Rattus norvegicus: one gene and its partners. The protein of the gene in region 5 interacts with the protein of the main gene of each other region in a biochemical or structural test. Links are inferred from orthologs where the notes say so. Each region holds a gene or a part of one and is shown on either strand. Other genes may lie near its edges.

What was found.
Region 1: the proteins of Tbp (region 5) and Rela form a complex in vitro, tested with the Homo sapiens proteins (2 studies listed by BioGRID). The link is inferred for Rattus norvegicus from reciprocal best matches to the Homo sapiens genes TBP and RELA.
Region 2: the proteins of Tbp (region 5) and Drap1 are reported together in a solved structure, tested with the Homo sapiens proteins (2 studies listed by BioGRID, with this or other methods). The link is inferred for Rattus norvegicus from reciprocal best matches to the Homo sapiens genes TBP and DRAP1.
Region 3: the proteins of Tbp (region 5) and Gtf2f1 form a complex in vitro, tested with the Homo sapiens proteins (3 studies listed by BioGRID, with this or other methods). The link is inferred for Rattus norvegicus from reciprocal best matches to the Homo sapiens genes TBP and GTF2F1.
Region 4: the proteins of Tbp (region 5) and Btaf1 form a complex in vitro, tested with the Homo sapiens proteins (2 studies listed by BioGRID). The link is inferred for Rattus norvegicus from reciprocal best matches to the Homo sapiens genes TBP and BTAF1.
Region 6: the proteins of Tbp (region 5) and Ahr form a complex in vitro, tested with the Homo sapiens proteins (2 studies listed by BioGRID). The link is inferred for Rattus norvegicus from reciprocal best matches to the Homo sapiens genes TBP and AHR.
Region 7: the proteins of Tbp (region 5) and Brf1 form a complex in vitro, tested with the Homo sapiens proteins (2 studies listed by BioGRID). The link is inferred for Rattus norvegicus from reciprocal best matches to the Homo sapiens genes TBP and BRF1.

The regions. Positions count from the first base shown.
Region 1 is NC_086019.1:212,360,836-212,364,335, reverse strand, and holds part of Rela (transcription factor p65), read right to left. Parts: intron 2,213-3,500; coding exon 2,132-2,212; intron 2,025-2,131; coding exon 1,950-2,024; intron 870-1,949; coding exon 250-869; 3' UTR 1-249. UniProt on the Homo sapiens protein: NF-kappa-B is a pleiotropic transcription factor present in almost all cell types and is the endpoint of a series of signal transduction events that are initiated by a vast array of stimuli related to many biological processes such as inflammation, immunity, differentiation, cell growth, tumorigenesis and apoptosis.
Region 2 is NC_086019.1:212,160,963-212,164,906, reverse strand, and holds Drap1 (dr1-associated corepressor), read left to right. Parts: upstream 1-1,144; 5' UTR 1,145-1,349; coding exon 1,350-1,391; intron 1,392-1,622; coding exon 1,623-1,695; intron 1,696-1,780; coding exon 1,781-1,874; intron 1,875-2,153; coding exon 2,154-2,273; intron 2,274-2,371; coding exon of another isoform or gene 2,372-2,392; coding exon 2,393-2,486; intron 2,487-2,626; coding exon 2,627-2,715; intron 2,716-3,093; coding exon 3,094-3,199; 3' UTR 3,200-3,795; downstream 3,796-3,944. Other genes in the region: Bles03 (UPF0696 protein C11orf68 homolog), read right to left, coding at 1-128, 785-906. UniProt on the Homo sapiens protein: The association of the DR1/DRAP1 heterodimer with TBP results in a functional repression of both activated and basal transcription of class II genes.
Region 3 is NC_086027.1:1,937,398-1,941,370, reverse strand, and holds the start of Gtf2f1 (general transcription factor IIF subunit 1), read left to right. Parts: upstream 1-1,173; 5' UTR 1,174-1,299; coding exon 1,300-1,311; intron 1,312-1,397; coding exon 1,398-1,444; intron 1,445-2,700; coding exon 2,701-2,773; intron 2,774-3,973. UniProt on the Homo sapiens protein: TFIIF is a general transcription initiation factor that binds to RNA polymerase II and helps to recruit it to the initiation complex in collaboration with TFIIB. It promotes transcription elongation.
Region 4 is NC_086019.1:244,079,504-244,083,792, forward strand, and holds the start of Btaf1 (TATA-binding protein-associated factor 172 precursor), read left to right. Parts: upstream 1-1,489; coding exon 1,490-1,524; intron 1,525-4,147; coding exon 4,148-4,271; intron 4,272-4,289. UniProt on the Homo sapiens protein: Regulates transcription in association with TATA binding protein (TBP). Removes TBP from the TATA box in an ATP-dependent manner.
Region 5 is NC_086019.1:65,139,708-65,143,207, forward strand, and holds part of Tbp (TATA-box-binding protein), read left to right. Parts: intron 1-1,070; coding exon 1,071-1,450; intron 1,451-3,500. UniProt on the Homo sapiens protein: The TFIID basal transcription factor complex plays a major role in the initiation of RNA polymerase II (Pol II)-dependent transcription.
Region 6 is NC_086024.1:57,978,402-57,981,901, reverse strand, and holds part of Ahr (aryl hydrocarbon receptor), read left to right. Parts: intron 1-3,223; coding exon 3,224-3,327; intron 3,328-3,500. UniProt on the Homo sapiens protein: Ligand-activated transcription factor that enables cells to adapt to changing conditions by sensing compounds from the environment, diet, microbiome and cellular metabolism, and which plays important roles in development, immunity and cancer.
Region 7 is NC_086024.1:137,899,587-137,903,842, reverse strand, and holds the start of Brf1 (transcription factor IIIB 90 kDa subunit), read left to right. Parts: upstream 1-1,456; 5' UTR 1,457-1,535; coding exon 1,536-1,719; intron 1,720-4,256.

The DNA of each region.
Region 1 (3,500 bases), about 150 Mb from region 5:
AAAAGAAGAGCCGACTATCGTACAGGGGAAGAGCCCGAGTCCTCCTAGCTCCACTTCAGGGAAGTTAATGCTTCTGCTTAAGCACCTCCAAAAAGAGAGTGAGATATTGCTGATAAAAGAATAAAATGTGCCACCCCCAGGAGATATCACCCAAAGAAGTTGGGGGCAGTTGGTGCACACTCCCCAGAATCTGTACATGCTTCAGGAAGGCTTCAGTGCCCCACTCTGAGCAGGGTCACCATCAGTGCCTTAGGAGCTGATCTGACTCAGAAGAGCTGAGAAGTCCATGTCCGCAATGGAGGAGAAGTCTTCATCCCCTGAGAGGCCATTGGGAAGCCCTGAGGTCCCCAGGGTTGCAGGAGCTGGATCAGGGGGCCTCTGGGATCCTGTCACCAGGCGAGTTATAGCTTCAGGGTACTCCATCAGCATGGGCTCAGCTGTGGAGTGGGACATGGCCACACCCTGGTTCAGAAGCTGCTGAAACTCTGAGTTGTCGACAGATGCCAGGTCTGTGAACACTCCTGGGTCTGTGTTGTTGCCAAGCAAGGCCCCCAAGTCTTCATCAGCATCGAACTGCAGGTGTAGCAGGGCTTCAGACAGGGTGCCTTCCCCTGCCTGGGTGCTCTTTGGAACAGGTGCAGACAGGGATTGGGGAGGACCTGGGGCTAGAACTGGGACAGGAGCTGGGGGCTGAGCCAGACTTGGTACCATGGCTGAGGAGGGGACCATGGTCTGGGCCAGGACTGGGGCAGAGGATGGTGCCAGGGCCAAGGCCTGGTTTGAGATCTGCCCAGGTGGTAACACCATGGGGGAAAACTCATCAAAGTTGATGGTGCTGAGGGATGTTGAAAAGGCATAGGGCTGGGGTGCTGGAGAAAAAGCAAGGAACAAGGATCAGAAACAGCGAGGGAGAGAGAGAGACTTGCACAGCCCCTCTGCCTCCACCTAGCCCGGCTCTCTGGTGCTTACAATCCCTCCCTCTCTAGGGAACCAAACTGACCAGGCCTGTAGGGGACACACTGAGGTGTTCCCTAACTACCAGCGGTCTAAAGCTCTCACTCCTGACCTTTTAATGTTCTCGTATTACAGCGGCAAGGCCAGCTGAGGGTAAAGCATGGAACGTGGGCTTGGTGATGGGCATGTGCTACTTTTCTGAGCCACTTGCCAGCACTCACAGCCCATGACTTGTTAAAAAGTCTTTGTCTGTGTGTGCCTTCCTGCTTTTCTGTATGCACTGCATGCAGTGCCCTCAGAGACCAAAGGAGGCACTGGCTCCCCTAGCGCTGCAGCTGGGGCCGGCAAGCAGGTGCTGAGAACAGAAACCAAGCGCCCTTAATTGAGCCATCTCTCCAGCCCCACAACTTATTACTTTAGAGGTGATTTCTTCTTTCTAAATTCAATAGAGAGCTGAGGGCAGAGACATTTCCGATGTCTGTATCTGCAGGGATTATTTAATCCCTTGGTACCAAGTATTGAATCTGGGGCCTCTGTGCCAGGCAAGGCCTCTACCTCTGAGCTGTTCTTATCCTGCTTTTACTTTTAAACTTGAGACAGGGTTCTTCAGACTGACCTTAAATTTAATAACCTTGTAGTCCAGGATGGCCTTGAACCCGTGACCCTCTTGCCACACTCTCCTGAGTAGCAGGGAATAAAGGGCTCAGGGTTTAACTGGAGCCAATAGCACCCTCAGGAAATGGCTAGTTCTTGTGCCCCACTTTCAAAGCCTTGAGTTTATCAGTCTGTGACAGAGCCCAAGAGTCCACATCTGCACCGCTCCCTGGATGGTCCTGGCAGAGACCCAGGCCTCACCCCGAGAAGCACAGGCCCCATAGAGAGCAGGTTTCAGAACTCTGCAGGTGAGACTAGTGTCTGTTCTGTTCCCTTCTAGAAGATACTTCAGTCTGAATAAACGAGACCCTCATTCTAGAAGGACAAAAGGACTTCCTTACCTGGCTTGGGGACAGAAGTTGGGCCTCGGGAAGGCACAGCAATACGTCGGGGTGGAGGCCGGGGTTCAGTTGGTCCTACAGGGCAAAAGCTAGGTCAGCTTTCAGATCCTAGGTCTCCTCTCACTGATTCTGGAGCTTGGCCCACCTGCCCACTTTTCTCCCTCAGGCTCTCCCCATCTCACCATTGAAAGGACTCTTCTTCATGATGCTCTTGAAGGTCTCGTAGGTCCTTTTGCGTTTTTCTTCAATCCGGTGGCGATCGTCTGGGAAAGCAATATGGACGGTGGGTTTACTCTTGTTAGCTGGGCTGCGGTTCTCCCATGGGCTCTTCAGGAGAGTAGTGGGGTCATATTTGTCTAAGACCTCATCTCCCAACCACTTAAAAAGATGCGTGACTTTTGGAGAAGGGTCTGTCGGCTCAATTTTCTTCCCTGCTTTGTTTTTTGAGACAGTCTCACTCCTGGCTGTCCTGGAACTATGGAGACTAGACCAGGCTGACTTCAAACTCACTGAGATTCACCTGCCTTTGCCTCCAAAGTGCTGTGACTAAAGGCGTGCGCCACCACACCCGGCCTTGTTGGTTGGTCTTGACTCCTGGGGTTGCTGAGTAGAGGAGCCCTGCTCTGGGGCACAAGAGCCTGAGAGTGCCATTCGAGCTGCTCACCTAAGTATCTACCTAGGCAGAGAGGGAAGCACTGTGGGCAGGGCATCACAGGGTAGCCTAAGACTCCAGACTCATTGCAGTTAATGGCGTCTTCTTTTAGTTTGAAACTTCAGAATTATGTAGAACGCCCCAGCTGCATGCCTCCTAAGCGAACTTCATACCAAACTACTAGTTTTTTCCTGTGTCTCCCCGTCTGTCCTGGCACCAAAACTGGAAACTGGAGCTATCATTTTTTCCCTTCAATCCTCCAATCCTAACTCAACACAGCTTGCCAAGCACCTACTATGTGCTGGCTTTCCTCCTGGCCGCTGGAGGGAGGTGGGGTTGAGTAAGCACACGTGAGATTTAATTATCAAAAAGGTGACCTTAAAAGGTACCAGGGGGAGCCGGGGCTTACTGTGCAGACATGGCCAAGTCCAAGAACCACACCACACACAACCAGTCCTGCAAATGGCACAGAAATGGCATCAAGAAACCCCGGTCACAAAGATACCAATCTCTTAAGGGGGTCGACCCCAAGTTTCTGAGGAACATGCGCTTTGCCAAGAAGCACAACAAGAAAGGTCTGAAGAAGATGCAGGCCAACAATGCCAAGGCCGTGAGTGCACGAGCAGAGGCCATCAAGGCCCTCGTGAAGCCTCAGGCTGTCAAGCCCAAGATGCCAAAGGGCTCCAGCCGCAAACTCAGCCGTCTGGCTTTCATCGCTCACCTCAAGCTTGGGAAGAAGATTCGAACGAAGCTACATGGCCAAGGGTCGTAGGCTCTGCCAACCAAAGCCCAAGGTTCAAACCAAGGCAGAGGCCAAAGCTCCAGCCCAGGCTCCCAAGGGTGCCCAGGCCCCTGTGAAGGCCCCATAGAACAGGCTCCTGCCAGTGTGAAGACAGATG
Region 2 (3,944 bases), about 150 Mb from region 5:
GGGCATCAAATACCAGCCAGGGGTCCATGTCAGCTGCCATGGCCTCTGCAGCCAGGTGCTCAGCAGTGAAGCCATCCTCACGACCACCTGGAGAGTCCTCCTCTTCCAGCTCTTCATTTGGTTCCATCCTGTTGTGAGGGAACTGAGTCAGAAGTTTGAGACAGTAAATAAAAAGTACTGGGTCCTAGAGGGTGCCAGGCACTGCTTTTAACTGTGGCCTTGGGCAAGTCTTAATGTCTGTGCCTCAGTTGCTTCATCTTCACAATGGGATAACAACTGATCCTGTCTAGATTTGTCTCTAGAATAAAATGCCTGAGGTGGAGTCGCTATTGTCAGTACTACTTTCACTGCTTAAAAACAAGGAAATTGAAACTCTGAGAAAAGGGGCTTGCCCAAGGTCATGTCTGTAAAGACCGTTAAAGCTTAAGTGTTAACTGGCACAGGACTCTGCTACACCACAGGACTAGAGTCTCGCAGGTAGCGCGGCGCTGCAATTTAATGGACGTAGGCAAAACGCAGGTTCGCCAATCTCAGAGGCTGGCTGGAGAGGGGCCAGGCCTCCCATGGTGAACTATTTGGGGCACACTTATCAACACCAAGACTCTGAGACCCAGAGAGGACAGCGGCCCATCTGGGGGTCAATGGGCAACATCCGGACTCGAACCTGATAGGACAGAGTCTGCGCGAGGACCAGGCTCCAGCCTTACCACACCCGCCGCCATTAGTGTTCACAGGTAAGGGTTGCCTCCACCCCCGGGCTGCCCTCTCGTCGCCCCACAGTCACCTCCGGCCTTCACTCCGCTCCGCGCCAACCCAACTTCGGGCCCGGCTCCGTTCCTGCCCGGGGTCTGCGCCGCCACCCCCGCCGCGCCCCGCCCCTGCCACGGCCGCCGCCGCCGCCGCCATCTTAGGGTCCCGCCACCTCAACAACAACTTTATAGACAAACACAGTCACGGGGCGGGGCCAGAGGCGGAACCAGAAGGCTAGGGGCGGGGGCTCCAGGGGAAGGGGCGGGCTGAGTTCAGGGGCGGAGCCAGCGCGAGAATCCCGGGAGGTGCAGGTCTTCAGGAGGCGGAGCTAACGTTCGTACTTTAGCTTGGAGGGCGGGTGGGCGTGGCGGGCGATCCCTGAGAAGGACGCGCACCGCCCTAGAGGATCCAAAGCCCAGCGCTTGGGTTTTGGGAGCTGCTTTTCTACGAACGGCACTAGGACCCTGCGAGAAGTGGTGTGGGCGGAGTAGGCGGCACCAGGACCGGGGGGAACCGCGGCCGGCTGGCGGCGAACAGGCCCGGGGCCTGGAGGCTGCGGGCGGCGGCGCTGGGCCCGGCGCAGCGTGAGAGGCCCCGAGATGCCAAGCAAGAAGAAGAAGTATAACGCGCGGTTTCCGCCGGTGAGCACGTGGCCGGGATGGGCCTCTGCAGGCTAGGTTCCTGGGAGGCTTGGGCCCAGGTCCTGCTGGTGGGGGGACGGGTGCTTTTAGGTGTTCATGGCCTGACGCCCCGCCCCTTCCATGCCCTCCTGGCTTAGTGCCCCCCGCCCTCTTCTCCTGGGATACCCCCCGGTTCACTCAGCTCCCCTGTAGAGACGCAGGAGACGAGCTCTGTCCCCTTCCCCTCGGCAGGCGCGGATCAAGAAGATCATGCAGACAGACGAAGAGATTGGGAAGGTGGCGGCAGCTGTGCCTGTCATCATCTGTATCCTACTAGGGGCTGGCTGGGCTGAGGGGCGTGGGGCGGGACTGCGGCACTCCCCTTTTTGGATTCTCCTTGACGTCCTCAGCCCGGGCACTTGAGCTCTTCCTGGAGTCTCTGTTGAAGAAGGCTTGCCAGGTGACCCAGTCTCGAAATGCCAAAACCATGACCACGTCCCACCTGTGAGTGGCCGCTAAGCTGGGCTTTTGAGGAGGCAGTGTTCTGACAGGGGGAGTGGTGCGCTGCTGAGGGAGGCCAGCTTTGTGGGTTTGGACTGATGTAGGAGAGATAAGGTGTTTCAGGTGGAGGGAACAACCAGAGCCAAGCCGCCCGCCCGGGAGGCCTGGTGGAAGTGGGGAGGGGTGTTCCACTGTACTGACACGAAAAGGTTGTTTCTATGATTCCGGAACATCAGTGTTTTGGGGGCCCTTTTTGAACACCTTCCTCTCCCACTTCTACAGGAAGCAGTGCATTGAGCTTGAACAGCAATTTGACTTCTTGAAAGACTTGGTGGCATCTGTGCCTGACATGCAGGGTGATGGGGAAGACAACCACACGGATGGGGACAAGGGTCCTCGAAGGTGGGTAACCAAAACCAGGTATATAAGTGGGAAAGGCCAAGGCCACAAGGGTTGGGGGTGGCTGGGGGGTGAAGAAGGGGAGAGAGTCCTCTGTGCAGATGGCCTGTACCTTCCCGAAGGGGCCGGAAACCAGGCAGCAGTGGCAGGAAGAATGGAGGCACAGGAAGCAAAAGCAAAGACAAAAAGCTGTCCGGGACAGACTCAGAACAGGAGGTGAGTGAGGCCGGTGGGGAAGGCCTGGTCTCATCCTTGTTACAGCCTTTGTATCTAACTCCATTGCCTTACCAGGGTTCTGGGCTCCCCAGAGAAGGGCCCAGACCTTCTCATTAACCTGACCCTTGCTGTGCTCACAGGATGAGTCTGAGGACACAGATACAGATGGGGAAGAAGAGACACCACAGGCCCCACCCCAAGCCAGTCACCCCCCTGCCCACTTTCAGAGGTGAGCACCCCAGGGATACCAGAAAGAGGCACAACAAACTCCCCAGAGCCAGTTAGTTTTACTTCCCTAGCCATTGGTGGTGGTGGTGGTGGTGGTGGTGGCGGCGGTGGCGGCGGCTGACTTTAGGGAATGGAGGGGAGAGAACACTATTAAACACAAGAGATTGTTCTGAGAAGGCCTTGCCTCCATGGTAGTGGGTCGGGGAGAGAGTCTGGAGAATGGTCTTTGCTGGGACCTTCCCTCCTAGGGGGGTTGTCTCCATGATGTAATGGGTGGCTTTGACTACACCTGCTTCTGTCTCTGGAGAATGGGGGTGGGCCTGTGGGTTGGGCACAGCACAGTTCCAAGCTCTGATTTTCTCCATTTTCTGTCCTGCAGCCCTCCAACTCCCTTCATGCCCTTCACCTCTCCTCTGCCTTTACCCCCAGCACCTCCCGGCCCCTCAGCACCTGAGGCAGAGGACGAAGAGGATTATGACTCCTAGCGCCCTTTAACCCTGGCCATATGCTCTTTTAGTTAGTATTAGTTGCTTTGGGGAGAAGAGAAAGATGGAACTGTTCTTAAATTTATTAAAAAAAAAAAAGGATTTTGGTTTCTTTTCATCCTGTGTCCAGGGCTTCGTGGCTGTATTGCCCATCCCCCCACCTCCCCACATGGGGGCAGCAGGAAGGAACATTGTTGGGGCAGCCAGTGATTGAGTTAAAACAGGGAGTCTGACAGGAGTCTGGGGCACTGAAGAAAGGAATGTGGTCTAGGGACTGAGTTGCCACATGCTAAGGGGTGACCTCTCATTGTGTGGGACCTTGGGCACCTTCTTCCCCTCTCTGGACTGCTGAGAAGGGACAGATGGAATCAGTACTGAGACGGGGCCTTGAAAAGTATAGTGTTGGGCTGGAGAGATGGCTCAGCGGTTAAGAGCACTGACTGCTCTTCCAGAGGTCCTGAGTTCAAATCCCAGCAACCACATGGTGGCTCGCAGCCATCTGTAATGGGATCCGATGCCCTCTTCTGGTGTGTCTGAAGACAGCTACAGTGTACTTATATATAATACATGAATAAATCTTTTTAAAAAAAAAAAAAGAAAAGTATAGTGTTCTGCAGCCAGTGCAGTGACGGGCTCGGCACAGTGAAGAGACGGGTACCTGAGATAGCAGAGGGTCTGCGAAGCATCTTTGGAGCCAAGCAGTCTGCCAACTGTATCTGAACAGCCTGGGCAACCTGTGTGCCAA
Region 3 (3,973 bases), on a different chromosome or scaffold from region 5:
AACCCACCCAATAGCACCCTGCTCCACCCACCATGCGGTCCTTTCTATCCTGCCTGCTTGTGCCTCTAGTCACACAACCCTTTCCTCTCCTTCACAGTCATGGTTCTTTGTTCTTTGTCCTTTTTGACTCCCTTTAGTCTTCCTAACCAGCCTTTGTAACTCACGGTGCGCTCCCCGAAAGTGAAGAAATGAATGTCTCCGCTACTAGATACATCAGTGGAGTCAGTTGTTTATGGTTCTGTAAAGACTAACATGGAATCACCATATCTCATCCTTCTCAGGTTCAATGTCTGTACCACCCTTGACCCTCTGAGGGTCCCAACTCCTATGAGTCCCACAGGCTCCCTTTTTCTGATTCCTCCCCCGAGAATTGTACTTTCCATCTCTGACACTGGCTCCTCTACTCAAGTTATATTCCAAAGGCATCAACCAATGGTGGGGTGGGAGCATGTGCAGATGCGTTCCTGTCGTGCAAGGGTTGGTGTGCACAATCAGGTGGTGGGATACCTGCCCACCGCCCCCTTCCGTTGCCTCATGTAGACCAACTACCCCATGTTGTTACCCTTCTCCTGGGGCCGTAAAGCTCTGCCCAGCTGGGGCAGCGTGGACTCGCACAGACCCATCCCGCCCGCAATGCTGGGGTACGCCGGGGCCGGGTCTCTGCCCTGCAACGACTCCTCGGCTCCGCTTTACGTCACAAGGGACTCATTTTGCAAGATCCTCGGGATCCCCTGACTCCAGGACACAAAAGAAAACGGAATCTCAGACCCACCCCAGAAGAGCCCCGGAGGCCATTCCACAGAGCGAGCCTCGGTTGCCATGGCAACGCGGCCTCCGCTCCCGCTTCTTGGACATTTACGCTTGCGCGAGAGTACCGAGGACGCGAACACCAGAAGACTCCATTCCCACCCTACCCAAGATGCTCCACGTTGCCCGCGTCTTGACGTCACGAAGTGACGTATTCTCACGTGATTATAAGTTATCCGTGATGTAAAAGAGAACACTGGGAGAAAGCAGCTTTATTTCGCTCAGAAGCTGGAGAAGACACAGACTAGGTACAGTGGTAGCTCTCGTCTCCGTGTGGCAGTTCTACTTCCGGGTCAGGCTGTGGCGCATGCGCAGCGTTCTAAGTCTCTTTTTTTTCTCGTCTTCCAGCATTCTAGGAGACTTAAGGGTTTGGAAATCCAAAGCACAGGATCACACTAACGTGACAACCAGGAAAGGTGCTTTCCCTGGGTCCGAGGGACACAACCAAGACCATCCAGGTCTGGCCGACCCGGAGCAGCTTGAGCAACGGCCATGGCGGCTCTAGTAAGTATGAATGAGGTGGGGATGGAGGTGTCGCAAAACAGACCCCGCGCCCTCTTCTCGCCTTACAGACTCCTGTTCTTTTGCAGGGCTCCAGCAGCCAGAATGTCACTGAGTACGTCGTCCGAGTCCCCAAGTAAGTCCCCGTCCATCCACACTTTAGAACCTCGGCCCTGTGTTCCCCTGCCACGCTGGCCCTACTGCCGCGTCCAAGACATAGTAATATGTCTTGGTAAATCTTGGTAGTTAATGTTAGGGTCTGTGACTCTGTCCTGTTTCAGACTGGTCAGGCCAGACATGGTGGCTGCCTTTAATCTCAGCACTTGGGAGGCAGAAACAAGAGAATTTCTTTGAGTTCGCGGTCAGCCAGGTCTATAGAGGGAGTTCCAGACCAGCCAGGGCTACATATCGTGAGAGCCTGTCTCAAAATAAAACAAAATTCCAAACTGGTCACAAGTAGTACACATCCTGCTTTCTGTGCCAAGTGCCATGGCCCTCAACTTCTAATTTTATCTTAGGTGGGCCTGTGGTAGGCAAGCACTGTACCACTGATCTACACCTAGTCCCCTTTTATTTTTTTGTTTATTTTGAAGACACAGTTTTACTGTGTAGTCTAGCCGGTTTGACCAGGCTGACTTTGAAACCCACTAAGACCCATTCACCTCCAGCCCTTGCCTGCCTGCCTTCCTCTCTACATAAAGGTTCTCTACACCTTTGGTTCATTTTTTTCTTTTTTCTTTTTTTTTTTTAAAGATTTATTTATTTATTATATATAAGTACACTGTAGCTGTTCAGACACACCAGAAGAGGGCATCAGATCTCATTACAGATGGTTGTGAGCTACCATGTGGTTGCTGGGATTTGAACTCAGGACCTCTGGAAGAGCAGTCAGTGCTCTTAACCACTGAGCCATCTCTCCAGCCCCCGGTTCATTTTTTTCTTAAGGATTTAGTGTTATCTCTGTGTATGCCTGTGTGTATATAGATGTGTGTTGTGAGAGTGCCTGGTGCCTATGGATCTTTATATGGGGTTGGATGAGATGGAGTCTTTAAAAAAAACAAAACAAAAACAAAATTAAAAAATCCCTGAGAAACTGGAGCAGTGGTTTTCAACCTGTGGGTCGCCTAAGTCCATCAGAAAACACAGATATTTACATTATGAATCATGATAGTAGCAAGCTTACAGTTATGAACTAACAAAAATAATTTTATGGTTGGGTCACTACAGCATGAGGGGGTCATAGGGGTATTAGGGGTCATAGCTTTAGGAAGGTTGAGGACCATTGTTCCCGAGTCTTTTTTGAGTTCCCAGAATTACCTACAACCAAGGGTGTAAATCGTAGATTTGTTGAATGGCTAATCGATGGATTGAATAGTTTCTTGCCCATTCCAGGAACACAGCCAAAAGATACAACATAATGGCTTTTAATGCAGCTGATAAAGTCAACTTTGCTACCTGGAACCAGGTAAGTGTATGCCTCTGGGTGTCTGGGGCAGAGACCTAACCCTGGGCTGGTGACTTTACTGAAACAGTAGTGCCCACACCTGTAGCCCCAGCAGACCTGTGATTCCAGCTATTTGGTGGCTGAGGTAGAAAGACTGAGTGTTTTAGACCAGCCTATACTAAATAAATCCTATCTCAAAGAGAAGAAGCTAGCCTGAGGGTACGGTTCAATTGATGGAGCACTCATCTGGCATATAGGAGGCCAGGGGGACCACCAGCGCCATGTATAATGGGCATGTTGGCTGGCACACGCCTGTTATCCAGCATGGGAAAGGGGATAGGATCTCAAATTGAAGACCATCCTTGGCTACATAGTGAGCTTGAGTGAAGCCCCGGATATATATATATATATATAGACCATGTCTATATGTATACTATAAAGTAAAGTAACGGGTAACAAGATGACAAGCAGGCCATGTCATGTACAAAAACAAATGCATTTTATAAGTTTGGAGTGTTTGTTTTTAAGATAAAGCCAGCAGGCCATAGTGACACATACCTTTAATGCCAGTTCTTGGCAGCAGAGTCAGTGGATCTCTGACTTTGAGGCCAGCCTGGTCTGCACAGTGGGCTTCAGAGCAGACTGCCTATACAGTGAGACCCTGTCTCGAAAGGATAAAACCATACCACAAGATGGGTACAGCCAGGGATACTAGCATCCCAGCACCAGGGAGGTGGAAGCAGGAGGATCATAAGTTTGAACAGCCTGAGCTACATAACAGGATTCTCTAGATAATACTAAGAGGAAAAAAGTGTTAAAGGCCAAAGTTTTAAACTACCCAGTATTCTGGGTGTCATGTTAAAATGTTACTATTTCCATATTGTCTGGGTTGCTCCTGAGCCTTCCTCGGGTGGTCTCCGTGATCTCATGGACCAGTCTGTTTTACTGTTGTAAGTCCCACATTCCTCATGACCAGAGTCGTGTGTGTGTGCATATGTGCATGTGGGCATGCTGTGCATGTCAAGGCTAGAGTGGACATCAGCTGTCTTCCATAGTCACTCTACACCTTATTATTAAAATGACATCTGTTGGGCCACAGGTGTGTGAGGGATGCAGAGTTGAGATCAGAGAAGAGTTTGCAGGAGTCGGTTCTCACTTTATGCTGTGTGGGTCCTAGGGCTTGAACTCAAGCCTCAGTCCTTTTGCAGGCTATACTTTATG
Region 4 (4,289 bases), about 180 Mb from region 5:
CTTAAAATTTCTTTTTAAAAGCATTTATTTTGGGGGACAGGACATGCCACAGTATATATGTGGAGGTCAGGAGACAATTTGTGGGATACTATTCTTTTCTTTAACTATGTGGCTTCTGGGGATTGAGCTCAAGTTGTTGGGCTTATTGGCAAGCACTTACCTGTTTAAGTAATCCATCCTACTGGTCTCCTAAAATAATTTCCTGAAAAAATTAAAAGGTTTTTTTTTTTTTTTTTGCCATTGAGCTTGAGGTGTTCTGACTAGCAACGTGCAGATGTTTGTTGCTATTTCCAACGTGCAGATGTTTGTTGCCATTTCCAAGGATTGTTTTGAAGACTCACAGCTGATGTTCATGAACTCTTGACATACCAGTCTCAGGAAAATAAGTCAGAAGGGCTCGAACCTGAGAATCACATAAAACGAATGAAGGGAAGCTGTTGATAGTACACAGATGTTAAGTCTGATCTTACCTTAGAGCTTTTAAAGAATATCAGTGGTCATAAACAACTTTCCTTTCTTTTGTTTCGGAAGCCTAATCTTTCTACCAATCCTTTAGCGAAAAACAGAATGAATGGTGTGCTAGTCAGTATTTGTCATTATGCCAGGTATCTATCTGAGAGACAGGAAGAGGAAGCTACTTGAGATTACTGTTTCAGAGGTTACAGTTCACGGTTGTCTGGTTCCATTGTGTGGACCTGTGGGAAGGCAGAATAACTTGAATATAAGGCATGGTAGTGTAGAACTGCTCACCCCAGGCAGAGAAGGGACAGGAGAGAGAGAGCCTTTGAAGACATATTCCAGTGATGTGCTTCCTTCAGCTCGGCCCACCTCTGAGGCTTCTCCTACCATTCCAAATAGCACCATATGCTGGTAGTCCAACACACGAGCCCGTGGAGGATTATTTTATCTTCCACATACAGGTAAAAGCAAGTGTTTAGATAGCTGTGAATGAACAAGGAGAAAACAGTCTACATGCTCAGTATCTGTGTAAGTTAATTTTTCCATTTCCTTTAGAAGCTTACTGTATTGGATTTTTTGAAAATCTTAATTTTGAAAAATTTTGAAAGTCTTTAGCTTTAATTGCCTGAAGGAATTTTCTTGAGTTATATCTTTCTTACCATACCCTTAACTATAAAATGTAAATCATGTGTTGGCATCTTGTTCTGAAACAGTTGAACATTTCAATACCATTAATATGGAGAGAAAAAGATACATTTTAGGGGTTGGGGATTTAGCTCAGCGGTAGAGCGCTTGCCTAGCGAGCGCAAGGCCCTGGGTTCAGTCCCCAGCTCCGGAAAAAAAGAAAAAAGAAAAAAAAAGATACATTTTAGTTATTTTTCTAACCAATTCTAGTGATTTTTGTGCTTAATGTGACTCATTTTTTAAAAAGACCATGTTTGTGCTGCTTGCCTCTGCCTCACTATGTAGCCCAGTAGTTCCTATGGTGGAACTTAGATCCACCAGCCTTGTGAGTGTTGGTATTAAAGGCATGGGCTACCAGGCCTGTCCTGTTTTCCTCTTAATGTGAGAGGCATTCATTTATTTCTTTTGTCCTCTAAAACTTTTTTTTTATTTCTTCTCCCTTTTCTTTTTTTCCTTTCAGAACTTTGTAGCTTTTTAGTTCTTGTTAGATAAAAAAAATCCCAGAAATATTATAAACCTTTTAGTTTATTAATGCTTAAAGCTTATGCCTTACTTTGGGACCTTGTTTGTTCTCTCTTCTCATAGATAAAATGTAAAACTATTCACTAGCTCTCCCCTCATGTTAGATGGGCATTCTTATAACCTTGCTCATCGTTTGCCTCGATTTTGTTTAAAGTGTCCGTATATCCCAAACAAGAAGCCTTCTTCTATAGGCATGGCACTCACGTTACTTCAGTGGGTTAGTGTGGCAAGGCTAGCCCTGTGTGGTGCGTAGATAGGTGGGTGGAGTTGTGACTTTGTCCACCGTCCTTACTCTAAGCATAGTCTGTTGTGATTTTCATTGCATACCTTGCTTAGAAGTAGCAGAGCTAGGGTTTGGATTTGTGTCATTCTCTCATATGTTGCAAGTTCAGGAATATATTAGTAGTCATATTTATCACCTCTGCAGATGACCTTACCTTCCAGCTCTTGTAAACATTAACTCTATTCCAACTATCATTTTGTGCTGTCTTACACTTTCTCTGCCACTGGTGAGCTTGCCATCTTTTCTGTTTTCCTTCAACTACCCCTTTTGATTTCTTTCAATGATTATCTTTTTTCTTTTTAGGAGTGGCATGGGATGGGATGGGAAGTTGTGTCAAAGTCCCAATATGTAGCCCAAGCTGGTCTTGAACTTGGTTGTAGCTCCCAGGTTGGTCGCATTCTCAAATTGATCATCCTGCCCTGTTTTCCAGAGTACTGGGATTATAAGCATGTGCCAAAAAGTAATCCTTGATATTTTCATTTCTGAGATTAGAAATCTTACAGTTCTTTCAATACCCATGATCTTTTGCTTAATTACCACACTGTGCGTGTTTTGTTTAGATGTATGTTTTGCTTCTGACTACTAGCTTCTTTGGGTTTTTGTATGAATTGTGGTCTAATTTTCTACAAGACTTTCCACTACTGCCAGATTAGTCTTCCTAATCCATAACCCCAGTCACACTTGATGCTCTGCTCTATTCTGTTTGCCTTGTCCTTTCTTTTTATGTAACCCAGGCTGGCTTTGAACTCACAGTATCTTCTTTCAGCCCTCTGAGTATTCAAATAATTGTGCACCCCCATGTCTTACTAGTCCCATCATTTTTTTGACCCAAGACTTTTTTGTTGAACTATACAGTCAAGGATTTCACATTATTTTTGTAGTTGTATTTCTTTTCCTCTTCTTTCTTTTGTTAGTTTATTATTTATTTAGTTAAACAAGGTCTTTATATGCTGGCTAGTTGGGAAGGTTTCATGTATATGAAACCTTTCGGTTTTCAGTTCTGCTCTGCACTCACCTTACAGATGAGTATGATGCCTAATAGGTATCCTTTTCCATTCAGAGAATGTGGGACCAAGTCAGTCTCTCCATCATCTCCATCTTGGTTAGAAAGTCCACATAATGTCTAATAGTATTAGCCCTTATGGTACCAATCACACAATGCACATTTCTATGTGTTGAGGATTTATAACTTCCCTCATAGCCTACCTCTGCCTCTTTCCCAAGTGCTGGAGTTGTGCTTGGCCCTCCTACTGTTTTCTGAGTTAACTCTGACTTAAAACCAAGCCATGTTATTCATTTTGCAAGTTACAATTTTTTTGTTATTGCTAGCTCTTTTAAAATTTCACTTATTTATTTATTTATTTATTAAAGATTTTCTTTGGAGTTGGGGATTTAGCTCAGTGGTAGAGCGCTTGTAGCAAGCGTAAAGCCCTGGGTTCGGTCCCCAGCTCTGAAAAAAAAAAAAGATTTTATTTATTTATTGAATATAAGTACACTGTAGCTGTCTTCAGACACACTGGAAGAGGACATCAGATCTCATTACAGATGGTTGTAAGCCACCATGTGGTTGCTGGGAATTGAACTCAGGACCTCTGGAAGAGCAGTCGGTGCTTCTATCCATTGAGTCATCTCTCCAGCACCAAGATAGGCATCTCTTTTTTTCTTTCTTTCTTTCTTTTTTTTTTTTTTTCTTTTTCTTTTTCTTTTTTCTTTTTTTAGGAGCCGGGGAACGAACCCAGGGCCTTGCTCTTGCTAGGCAAGCGCTCTACCACTGAGCTAAATCCCCAACCCCAAGATAGGCATCTCTTATAGACACAGCTTTTACGTTTTTGTTTGTTTGTTTGTTTGTTTTGTTTTTAATCTTTTTGAGGCACAGTTTTACATTGCCCAAGTTGACCTTGATTTGGTTGGTCTTTAACTCTTTTTTTTTTTTTTTTTTTTTTAATTTCTTTTTTTCGGAGCTGGGGACCGAACCCAGGGCCTTGCGCTTCCTAGGCAAGCGCTCTACCACTGAGCCAAATCCCCAACCCTGGTCTTTAACTCTTGATCTTTCTGCTTCTTAGGTGTGGGATAACGGGCACAACATGCTGCTACACCCGGCTCCCAGCATAGAGCTTTGTTTACAGGTTGAATACATTTTCTGCCTCACGCTTATGAGGAAACACATTCAGATTAACTGTTGTATTTTTGCTATTATAGACTCGATCGTCTTTTTATCTTACTGGATACGGGTACTACCCCAGTTACAAGAAAAGCCGCTGCACAGCAACTTGGAGAAGTGGTGAAACTTCATCCTCATGAATTAAATAATTTGTTATCTAAGGTAAGAACTCAGCGTTTT
Region 5 (3,500 bases):
TAAGAGAAAGCAAGAGAAAGTGACATGTAACCATGCAGTATTGAACATGGGTTTGTAAGTCTTGTTTTACTTTGTGAAAATTTCTGATTTAGGTAGATATGATGCTCTTTTGTTTGGGAAATTTATTTGGAACCTAATTTATTTAGAAGACTGTTCCAACTATATGAGCTGTAAAACTTTTATTTACTCCAGAAGGTTCCTTCTTGCTCCTATTGCAGTCACGTTCCTATTACAAGATTACTACCAAATCTGCTTTGAATTAAACATTAGTTTTGATGTTAAACGTGTGCATGTGTGTGTGTTTGCAATAGAATTACACCTAGATTATTACCAATTCAGTATAAACTTTACCATCTCTGTTGTTCTTCTACCTCCACATAATTAATTAAATCTACCTTATTTTTATAAATAAAATTTTCAATTAGAATTAAATCTATATTTGTAAAACATAGAAGCATTATAGAAAAGGCAGTTGACAGTATATTACAGACTTTGTTGACTTTTGTTTTTAGTAGAGTAAATTGCTTTTTAGAGTAGTATGATAGAGGCGTCCATGAGCCTGTCATCTCGAACCTCTAGGTGACCATGTGATCCATCATCCAGAATTGACACAGTCTTTGTTAGTGGATAATCTGCATATACTGAATAGTACTTTGGAGGGGAGGTGTTGGTGTTTTGAGACAGGGTTTCTCTGTGTCATAGCAGCTCTGAAACTTGTGTTATAAACCAGGTTAGCTTCGAACTCACAGAGATCCACCTGCCTCTGCCTCCAGAGCTAAGATGCCTGGATACTGAGTGGTACTTTAAATAGGGACATATGCTTTTTCTTTATGGTCTAGATATGCTTGAGAGGCTAAGCATCTTTCTTATATCATATCATAAGTAACAGCCAGATTTCAAATCCCAAGTGCTCGTCTACTGTGTTCAGTACTACAGAAGATAGTGGTGCATCTCAGGACACAGATTCTTCTCTACTACTGAATGACATATACTGAAATACTTATCTACTAAGGAAAAGCTAAATGAGCCACCATCAGTCTCTTAGTCATTGCTCTCTTTGCTTTCTACAGGGTGCCATGACTCCTGGAATTCCCATCTTCAGTCCAATGATGCCTTACGGCACAGGGCTTACTCCACAGCCTGTTCAGAACACCAATAGTTTATCTATTTTGGAAGAGCAACAAAGACAGCAGCAGCAGCAGCAGCAGCAGCAACAGCAGCAGCAACAGCAGGCAGTAGCAACTGCAGCAGCCTCAGTACAGCAATCAACATCTCAGCAGCCCACACAGGGTGCCTCAGGCCAGACCCCACAACTCTTCCATTCTCAAACTCTAACCACAGCACCATTGCCAGGCACCACCCCCTTGTATCCTTCACCAATGACTCCTATGACCCCTATCACTCCTGCCACACCAGCCTCTGAGAGCTCTGGGATTGTACCACAGCTCCAGTGAGTACCTCTCACTTGTGTACACACCGCCCCCAACCCCCTGTGTGTAACAGTGAGTGAGTGAGTGAGTGAGTGAGTGAGTGAGTGAGTGAGTGAGCGAGGTTTTTCTGTTTGTGTTTCCTGTCCTGTGTCCCCTGCCCTATGTCTCTGCACCAGAAGAGGTACTCGGTGCTATTACACTATTTGCTTTCTGACAGTGGATTTACTTAAGGAAGTGACCCAGTGGTAATTCGGTTATACTGTGACTTCATTTGTTCTTGACAAGGAATTAAAGCTACATAGTGGGTCAGTGCTCTCAGCAGAGACTTTCCCTTAGAAATGGAGTTGCTTGTGTTTATGTATTTTGGCCACTGGAATGCAAACTGACCTTCACTGATGCTGTGGACAATTCTTTATAGCTAAGTGGCAGAGTCACAGGCCAGTTGTATCACAGCCTCTGCCATAGTGTCAGCACAGGTCTTAGGGGTCCAGGTTTTTCTTCAGTTTTGGCTGTGAGGGCTGTATTTATATCTTTGGAGATCTTAGTCACTCTTAGAGTGAGGATAGCAGTTGTCTTGAGGAATTTTTTGCCTCAGAGAAGTATTTCTCACATGTAAAAAAGGTGGAAGGTTCGGGCTTTTTTCTTTCTGAAACAGCCCAGACTTTCCAAACACCACTTAGTAACAAGAATATATATATATAGCTTTATTTTAAGACAGCTTAGTGGCTGATTAAACGGTTCTTCACAGACAACACTATCGGTTTTTGTGTTTAATAACTCTTCCTTCCTACTTTCAACTCTGTTTCCCATTTCCACTTAGTTTTCTGCATAGATAGTGTCATTTGTAAGCCATGCCAGCTCCTTTTTTTTTTTCTTTTTTTTTTTTTTGGTTCTTTTTTTTTTTTTTTTTTTTTTTTCGGAGCTGGGGACCGAACCCAGGGCCTTGCGCTTCCTAGGTAAGCGCTCTACCACTGAGCTAAATCCCCAGCCCCAATCCCTTTTTTAAACTAAGTGGCATAACCTGACTATACCTTGCCTGTGTACAATTTTAAATTACTTTTGAGTTTAAAGGGATAAGTTCTGTAAGCACTCCTTTTGTCTGAACTGCTCTAAACTATTTCTCCGTGCCTGCTTGACGTCCACAGGCATCCAGGTTTATACTTCTGATTAAAATCACTTATGAGGGGTTGGGGATTTAGCTCAGTGGTAGAGCACTTGCCTAGCAAGTGCAAGGCCCTGGGTTCAGTCCCCAGCTCCGGAAAATCAATCAATCAATCAATCAAATCACTTATGAGCTTAGGACATAACTTGTTTCAATATCCACAGAGCACGCAATTTACCCACATTACTGTTTCCATTATCTAATAGTATTTCTTATTAGGTGTCAGTTCAGTAGACTTATAAAGAATTCAGGTAAATATTTAACTTTCTTTTTTAAATTTATTATTTTATTACCTACATTCCAAATGTTGCCCCCTCACAATATTTAACTTTCTAAAATAGGAATACATTTATCATTTGACTGACTAAATTTGTGACAGGTACACCAAAGTGAACCTGAAAATTCAGTTCAGGTATGGGCATGCTGAGTCAAACTCGTTTTTAAGTAAAACAAGAATTTTTTTCTTAGTGTTACCTTGGTTAGGGGGAAATAGATATTAGAAAAGCAAAAACTGGCTACCTGGCTTTATGATTATGTTTAGAGAAAACTAGTCTAATAAAATTTAATTTTTAAATTCAATTTTGGGGGCTATTTTTGAGACTATCTGATTTGACAAACCTGGCTAGCATGGTGCTGTTTATACAATACAATTCTTAATTTTTTGAATTCTTGATAATTCTCCTACCTAAGCCTCCCACATGCTGGGTTGCAGATTTGCACTAATAAGTTTTTATTAAAAGTTCTAGGCCAGGTGGTGGAAGCCCACACCTTTAGTCCCAGCACTGAGGAAGCAGGGGTAGGCAGACCTTTGTGTTTTCCAAGACAACCTAGTCTACAGAGCAAGCTCCAGGATAGCCAGGGCTACACCGAGAAACGGGTCTCAAGATGAAAAGAAAAGTATTTCCTAG
Region 6 (3,500 bases), on a different chromosome or scaffold from region 5:
CTTAACCATTTTAGTGTGTATGTGTGTGTGTATGTGTGTGTATGCAGGTGTGTGTGTGCGTGTGTATGTGTGTATGCATGTGTGTTTGTGTATGTGCTTTGTTGAATCATCTCAGTCATTTTCTCTTATGCATACATCAGTGTTGGAATGGAATTTAACTTTCCTAGTCATAATAATAAAAAAGATAAAATATATTAAATTAATAGTAGTGATTAAGCATAAGTAAAACAATAGTTTTCCCCCTCAAACTGTGCCATGCCACATTTCAACTTAAAAGTAAACTTAGAAAAACGAAGAACAGATAGTTTAGCAGAATCCTGTATATTGTCCTCTTGAATTTTATTTCTTCAACAATTCAAAATAATATACAAGAGAGGGAAGTCTCATGTTAGAAAATGTAGGTTCCGTAAATGTCAGTTGAGTCCAGACCGGAGCCGTGGGTGCTGGGTTATGGCTACTTGATAGTAACATGCCTTTGCACACAGAGTACAGTCAGTTCTCTCTACTATGGAATTGCTTCAGATGCTCTAGAGGAAGTCATCCTTCATACTATGGCATTTTACTGTCCTCATCTTTGGCTACTTTAACATTCCTGTTACTTCAGAAGGGGGTATATAGCCCAGATGTCTATTAAAATTTAACAGATGCCTGACAGGTGGCAGAATCAATGACATTTTCAGATCCTACATTTCATTTCTACAGACTGTCACATCTTCCATGGCTGCTAAGTTTCAAGTATCATAGAGATTGGATTATATACATGATGTGTGTAGTGCTTCCTAGTGGTAGAGATATCGTAGTCACCATCTGGTTATCACAGTAATTCTGTCAGATGGCCATCCATGCGTTCCATTTAAAGATGAGGAAATGGTTAGCACTCGGTGCAGTCTTTTTGTAGTGCTTCCAGGGTGTGTAACAGGGCAGAGTTTATCATGCATGCCCTTTACTGTTCATGTGTAAGCTGGATGTTATTTTATGCTCGCCAGGATTCATCTCAGGTGACAGCATTGCTCTTATGTAAAGGCAGGAAAACTAGAGGTGAAAACAGTGAGCTCAGTGTGAGAACTGTGGGGTGGGTGGGTCATCCCTGCACACCGGGAAGAGGCTCAGGCTGCCCGGATTTCCATGCAGGCTTTACCTCTTAAAGCTTGGCAACTCCGAGGGAGTTTCTTCATCTTCTATGTCTTAGTTTCATACTATATCAAACAAACAATACCAGTGACATAAGGTAGTTTTGGAAATTAAATGGGACATAGATCGTAGCCCCAAGAAAATATATTATTGCCGGGTGCATAGAGTAATTCTATAGGTAGGAAGCAGTTGCCTTATTCCATGGGTTACTTAACAAGTTGAGCAGCACACTCGAGGAGAAAGAGTATTAATCCAGAGTCTTGGAATTTAAGAAGTAATAGTTATGATATTAAAACTTCAAGGAAAAACAAAAAGGTTAAAATAATCCAGTGTGGCTTGAAAAGTGTGGTCATAATGTAAGCTTTCTAAGACAGCACAGACGTGTTTTGTGGGGAGACCCTGGGAAGGGAGAGCACTGGCTACTTCTGGACACATGTTTGTGCAGTATTTACTTCAGTCCTTTCCTATGGACTAAACAACAGAGATATTGTCTGGCCTGCTTGGAGTACAACCCATCCAGTGACCATTTCCAGAAATCCATTTATTGTGCATATCAAGTATTGTGCTTCTGACATTTAAAGCTATTCCGTGTGAAGACCCTGCTTTTATAAACCATCTCCACACTTTCTGTAATGTTCCGTAAACCTGTTCTGATTCTTGACTCCTTTATGACATTCTTTTCTAGTTTTTTTATTTCTATAGCTTGTAAATCATCCTCAAAGACTGGCTAAATCCAATTTGCATTGGTTACTAATCTTCACAGAAGCCCAGTAGCAAACTTGACACAAGTTGTCTTATTTCCTGTCTGGTGATGAAGGACAGTCTGGTGGTGAACAATGTATCTGGCTGCTGAGCTGTTGTTTTCTCTTACTGGTAGTGACGTGAAATCTGTTACTCAAAAATTAATGTGAAGAGACTTCAGTTGATAATCGGGGTCTTCTGTTGGACACTGTATTGGTGGAGTTTGAGACTGGTCCTGCTCCTTTTATAAGAATGTCCAGTTTGAGTTTGGCTTTCATCCCATCTTTTCAGCAGTGGGTCTGACTTGGTAAAGCTCCCAACTTCTTTGCTTGGTGACATGGAGTAGAGTCTTTATCTTTGGCATCATGAGCGGCCAGTGCTTTACAGCAAGGTTCCCCAGTCAAAATAAGCAGCGGCAACAGCTAATACTGTACCGAAAGGAAGAAAGGGCCATTCTCTGTTCTGCATTTCAGTGAGAAGCATTTAAGTATTTCCTTTTAGTCTTGATTAGCAGGAGACCAGTTTACCTCACACTATTTTTTGGCCTGAGGAAATCTGTTCTCTGGCCTTTTGAAAACTTTACGCACAGAGGCCAAACTCTGGCCTCTTTTCTCACAGAGATATCTTTCAGCTTCTGCAAAGGTAAGCGAGAGCTTGGCTCAAGGTCCCGGTGTGACACATACACTGATGATTTACCGGAAAATGCAAACACGAGAATGGCTCACATGACCCTTGGCTCGCTAAGAAAGCTTCCCCTGAGCCGGGGGAACTGAGAAATCTAATAAAATACTTCTTGAGGACTGCAGACTCACTCTTTAAATATCACCGGGTAGAAAGGGATCAGGGAAGATAAGAATGCGAAGCACTTAGGAGATTACTCTTTCTAATAAGGCAATCCTTACACTCCCGTAAATACTCTAATTAGAGCAACTGTTTATTGACCTGCTGGTCTGCTGTGTCAGGAACGGCATGAACATTTTCACTGCCCCTCATAACAGCTTCATAGGAGAGTCTGGTTTAGTTTGTTTGCTTTGGTTGTCCTTTCACCTACTAGTAAACAGGCTCAAGGAGCTGATATGCGTAATAAATGGCAGAACTAAGATTTGTATCTAACCGGGTCAGATATGTTAGCCATGCATTTGCAAGTGAGATTAGTTAGTGCAGGCTAAAATGCCGAAGTAAATGGTAGCCATGATCACTGTGTCCAGTCGTGTTGCCTCTCGCCGAACCCGCTGCACACATGGTGTTTCGAATCATCCACTTTGATGGTTTCTACTGTAGTCTTTGAATATTGCTTGTTTGAAGATGTGCCTTTGTGTAATTACTTCTTCCTTTTTCTTTCCCCCTGTAGTTGCATTAAAATCCACCCCGGCTGACAGAAGTAGAGGCCAGGACCAGTGTAGAGCACAAGTCAGAGACTGGCAGGACTTGCAAGAAGGAGAGTTCTTGTTACAGGTATCGCTATAATGCAGTTCCCCTGTGTGGTTCAGGAGCACACAGAAGTGGGAGGGTCATCTATCCTAACTTCTCTAAGTCACTCAAGACTGCAGCACTGGTCTTCTCTAGTTCCCGGCAGATGGGATTATGAGAAATGGATTAATCTGGTCTAATCACCCTGGGATTATGGG
Region 7 (4,256 bases), on a different chromosome or scaffold from region 5:
TTGTGTGTGTGATGTTGAAAGGTAAAGGATAACTTTGTAATTTGAGAGTAAATTCTCTCAGTCCACCTTTGCCTGAGTTCTTGGGATCGAGCTCAAGACAGTCAGATTTGTCTGGCATGGGCATTTACTTGCCAAGCAATCTCGCTAACCCTTCCTTTTCTATGTTTTGAGGAGATCTCTTCCAAGTTCTGTGTTTGTTTGTTTGTGATAGGGTTATCCCTGTGTTTACAGAGCCCTGGCTGCCCTTTGTAGGTTAGGCTGGCCTCAAACTCACAGAGATCCACCTGCTCCTGCCTCTTGAGCGTTGGGACGAAAGCTGTGCACCAACACAATTGGCTTTTTCCAAGTTTGTTTTGTTTTTTTTTTTAAGCATGTTGATATTTCACTTGGAATTACACTGGTTTTGCAAGCTGATCAGAATTATGCGTATTTACAATGCTTCCTCTTACTCGAGAAAGGATGCTTTCTAATTCAGTTTGAGCTCCTGTGGCATCCTGCAGTCTAATTTTGGAGTTTCTTACCTGCAGTAGTACGCAAGATTTGCTAAACTTCGCAAGGACTGACGGGTATGGCTAAGAATGAGAGCCGCGCCTGCAGATGCAGGGGGTTCTGTGTATGCTCCACTTTACCCAGAGCTCTCCACCATGAAATAGGGAGTCCTGCTGAGAATCCAGCGTTGAGGGGGACCAAGTGTTCATCCTGGGCGGAGGGCACGCGGAGGGCTGCAGCGGAATCTGGAAGAATATCCCAGGTCCCTCTCAAACCTCGGCCAGGCGGGCAGTCCTTGATCCTACCCCAGGCGTGCTTTCTCCCCAGGTTCCTCCCACTACGTCCAGCCTCGAGGCCTCTACCAAAGCCTATTGTGCCAATCAATGCAGGCTTCACGGTAACCCTGGGCCCGGCCTTGGTCGCACTCAAGTTACCGCCCACAAGCACATCCCACTACTTTTGTTTCCAGATTCCTCTCACAGACAATCGGCTCTCCTTATGCTCTGCGCACGGCTTGTTTCTCCGCCTCGGCCCCGCCTCCAGGCTCCTCCCATACCTCTTGGGACTCTTCCCCGGCTCCGCCCATCGGCCAAGCCCTGCCCCTCCCCAGGCTCCTCCCACGGCCCCGGTCTCTTCCCAGGCTCCTCCCACGGCTCTGGTCCGGTCCCGGGCAGCGCTCCTTGCCTCGCCCCGCCCTTCTCGCCCGCCCGCAAGCCCCGCCCCGTTCCTTGGCTTGTGGCCCGCGAGGCCTACGGGCTCCTGGTTTGGAGCTTCGCTTCCGGCCGCCCGGAAGGTCGGCGGTTCGGTCCCAGCGTCCCAGTGATTCTGGAGTTCCTTTATTGGTCCCGCGGGCGCGGCCGTTGGAGGCGGCGCGGCCCGCACGCGCGTGGCGAATCTGCCGCTACGAATCGGCGGGCGTGGCGCCGGCGGCCTCGCGAGAGTGCGGCACAGACGGAGGCGGTGCGACGGGCCTTGCGGGCTGAGGGCCGCGGGCGGAGAGCGGGTTGGTGAGCGGCAGGGGGCCGGTGGGGCCCCGCGGCTCCAACATGACGGGCCGCGTCTGCCGCGGTTGCGGCGGCACGGACATCGAGTTGGATGCGGCGCGCGGCGACGCGGTGTGCACGGGCTGCGGTTCGGTGCTCGAGGACAACATCATCGTGTCCGAGGTGCAGTTCGTGGAGAACAGCGGCGGCGGCTCGTCGGCAGTCGGCCAGTTCGTGTCGCTGGACGGTGTGTTCTGCAGCTCGGGGGAGGGGGACGGGCAGGTCTGAGTGTGCAAGATGGGTAGGAAGTCGAAGCTAGCGGGGAAACGGAAGCAGATCGCCCTGCGACGGACCGTGGGTAGTCGGACAGGGAAACTGAGGCAGGGCCCGGCCGCGAATTTGCAGCCAGGTCCCCTCCGTGTCCTGTACGCTGACATGAGCTTCGCGATCCGCCGGGTCCAAGCGTCGCGGTCTGGTCCAACGGAGGTTCGTCCGGCTGGCCTGAAATCTGGCAGGCACAGCTTTCAAGCTCGCGCCTGATGCAGGTTCCGTTTATCCGGTTGGTCACTCTGACAGGTGTCATTTGCCCTAAGGGCTAGAAGAAGGGTTTGTTTCCTAACGGTTGAGTGTCGAGTCTTTAGTGAGTTATACTTCCAAGTCTTTCTTTGTATATATGATTCACGAAACAAAAGTTACTCATTTGAGCGAAGGTTTTACATTTTGAAGCATTCTCCAGTTTGGCGCCTGTTTCTTTTGTCAGTAATGTAAAATGTCTTCGTTTGAATTACCACATTTGTCTTCTAAAAGTTAACGTTTACCCTTTTATGTAGTTTTGTTTTTATTTTCTGAGTAATGGAGATCTAACCCAGGGGACTCTGGCACACTAAAGAGTTCCCAAATCCGTATGCCGTTGGAAGCCTAGTCCTTCCGTATTTTGAGTTAAGCCTGTGGGAAGTGCGATGTGCAGATTTAGGCTCCTTTCTTGCCCGTGGAGGTACCATTTTCCCCACACAATTTGCTGAAAGGATTCTTTTTTCTTTCTTTTCTTTCTTTCTTTCTTTTTTTTTTTTTTTTTTGGCGTGGAGTTACCATTGTTCCTCAGCAGAGATCCTTGTGTGCCCCGCCCCCTTTGCGAGTCTGCTCCCTGGTTCTGTCTTGCATTCATCCTTACCTTTTGTTTACATTTAATGTTTCGAGATGAGACTTGTGAGCCAACCAGCCTTTGCCTTCCTTTTTAGAATTGTCTGTAATCTCTTTCCCTTGGGTTGTAGAGTAACTGCATTTGCATATTTGTATTGTGTGTGTGGCTCTGGAGCAGGTTTTCCTCACACTGAGCAAGTGCTCTCTCTGCCAGTGAGCTAAATGCCTGGCTTTTTACATTTTAATTTGAGTTAGGGTTTTTGACAAGTTGTCCAGGCTGACTTTGAACTTAGTAACCCAGGTAAGCATTGAACTTGAAGTCCTTCTGCCTCGGCCTCCTAAGTAGTTCCATTATGAGCCTGTACTACCAAACCCAACTTTTGTTTGTTTGTTTGTTTGCTTGCTTGCTTGCTTTTGAGACAATGTTTTTTTTTGTTTTTTTTTTGTTTTTTTTTTTGAGATAAGGTGTCCCTGTGTAAACTGGCCGGCCTTGAACTTTTAGCAGTTTCCCCTGCCTCTGTCTCCTAAGTGCTGGGATTACAAGCATGCACCACCATGCCCTGTGTGGCTGAGTGTGTGTGTGTGTGTGTGTGTGTGTGTGTGTGTGTGTACATGGATGCACATGTGTGTAGGCATACATGTATGTATGTGTGGGCACATGGGTAAGGAGACCCAAAGTAGTTGGCATCAGGGGTTGATGTAGTCGATAATCTACACTTCACCAAGTCAGGGTCTCTTGCTGAACTTGGAGCTCCTGATTCCTGGCCACTCTAGCTAGCCAGTTTGCCCAAGGGATTCCCACTCTCAGCCTCCCAATTGCTGTGGTTATGTGGCTAACACACCTGACATGCTTTTCTGTGGGTTCTGGGAATCTGAACTTTAGTCATGCCTCCACAGCAAACATTTAACCCAGGGGACCGTCCACCTTCCCAGCCCATGTGGCAGGTTCTTGAATCTGCTGTGGGTTCCAGAAGTAAGCTCATCTGGGGTATTGTCCTTCGGAAATGCTGGTGGGTTTTCATCTCTGTTACATGGGGTGTTGGTCTGTAACCCAACATCTGTCAGCCTTGGATGTGGAGGTATCGCACTCCTGAAACAAGTGAGCCACGTCCCCTGCCCTCCCCAGCTCCCTGACTTTCTGGAAGGGACTATGTACAAACAATGCACGCTGCTCTTTTTCTCTTTCCTAGTTTCACTGTGTAACCAACCTGGCCTTAAACACATGATGCTCTGACTTCAGTCTTCTTCCCAGCAGGAGTGTAGGTGTGTGCCTGCCACTTCTTCCTTAAATATTAGGTAGACGTCTCTAATGCAGCCAGCTGGACTTAGGTTTTCTTTTCCAGCCTCTGTCATAGTAATGGCTGTAGTTACATTTCAGATAGTTTCTGACTTATTCTTGGAATGGGTCATCTAGTTGTGGGACTCATGTGTTAAGCAAATTGTCTGCAGCTGAGCTTTACCCCTATGTTCTATATGTCTGCAAGGGACTGTGTGAAGTCCCTTTTCTCTTTGGATGTTGGTGTCTTGTGTTTTTGCCTTTCTGGCTGCTTCACCAGTTTTGTTGATATTTCCAAAAATTTGACTTTGGGTTGACTTTTCCCTTCTGCATTTCCGTTCCTGTGGTGTGTTTCACATGTCACATAA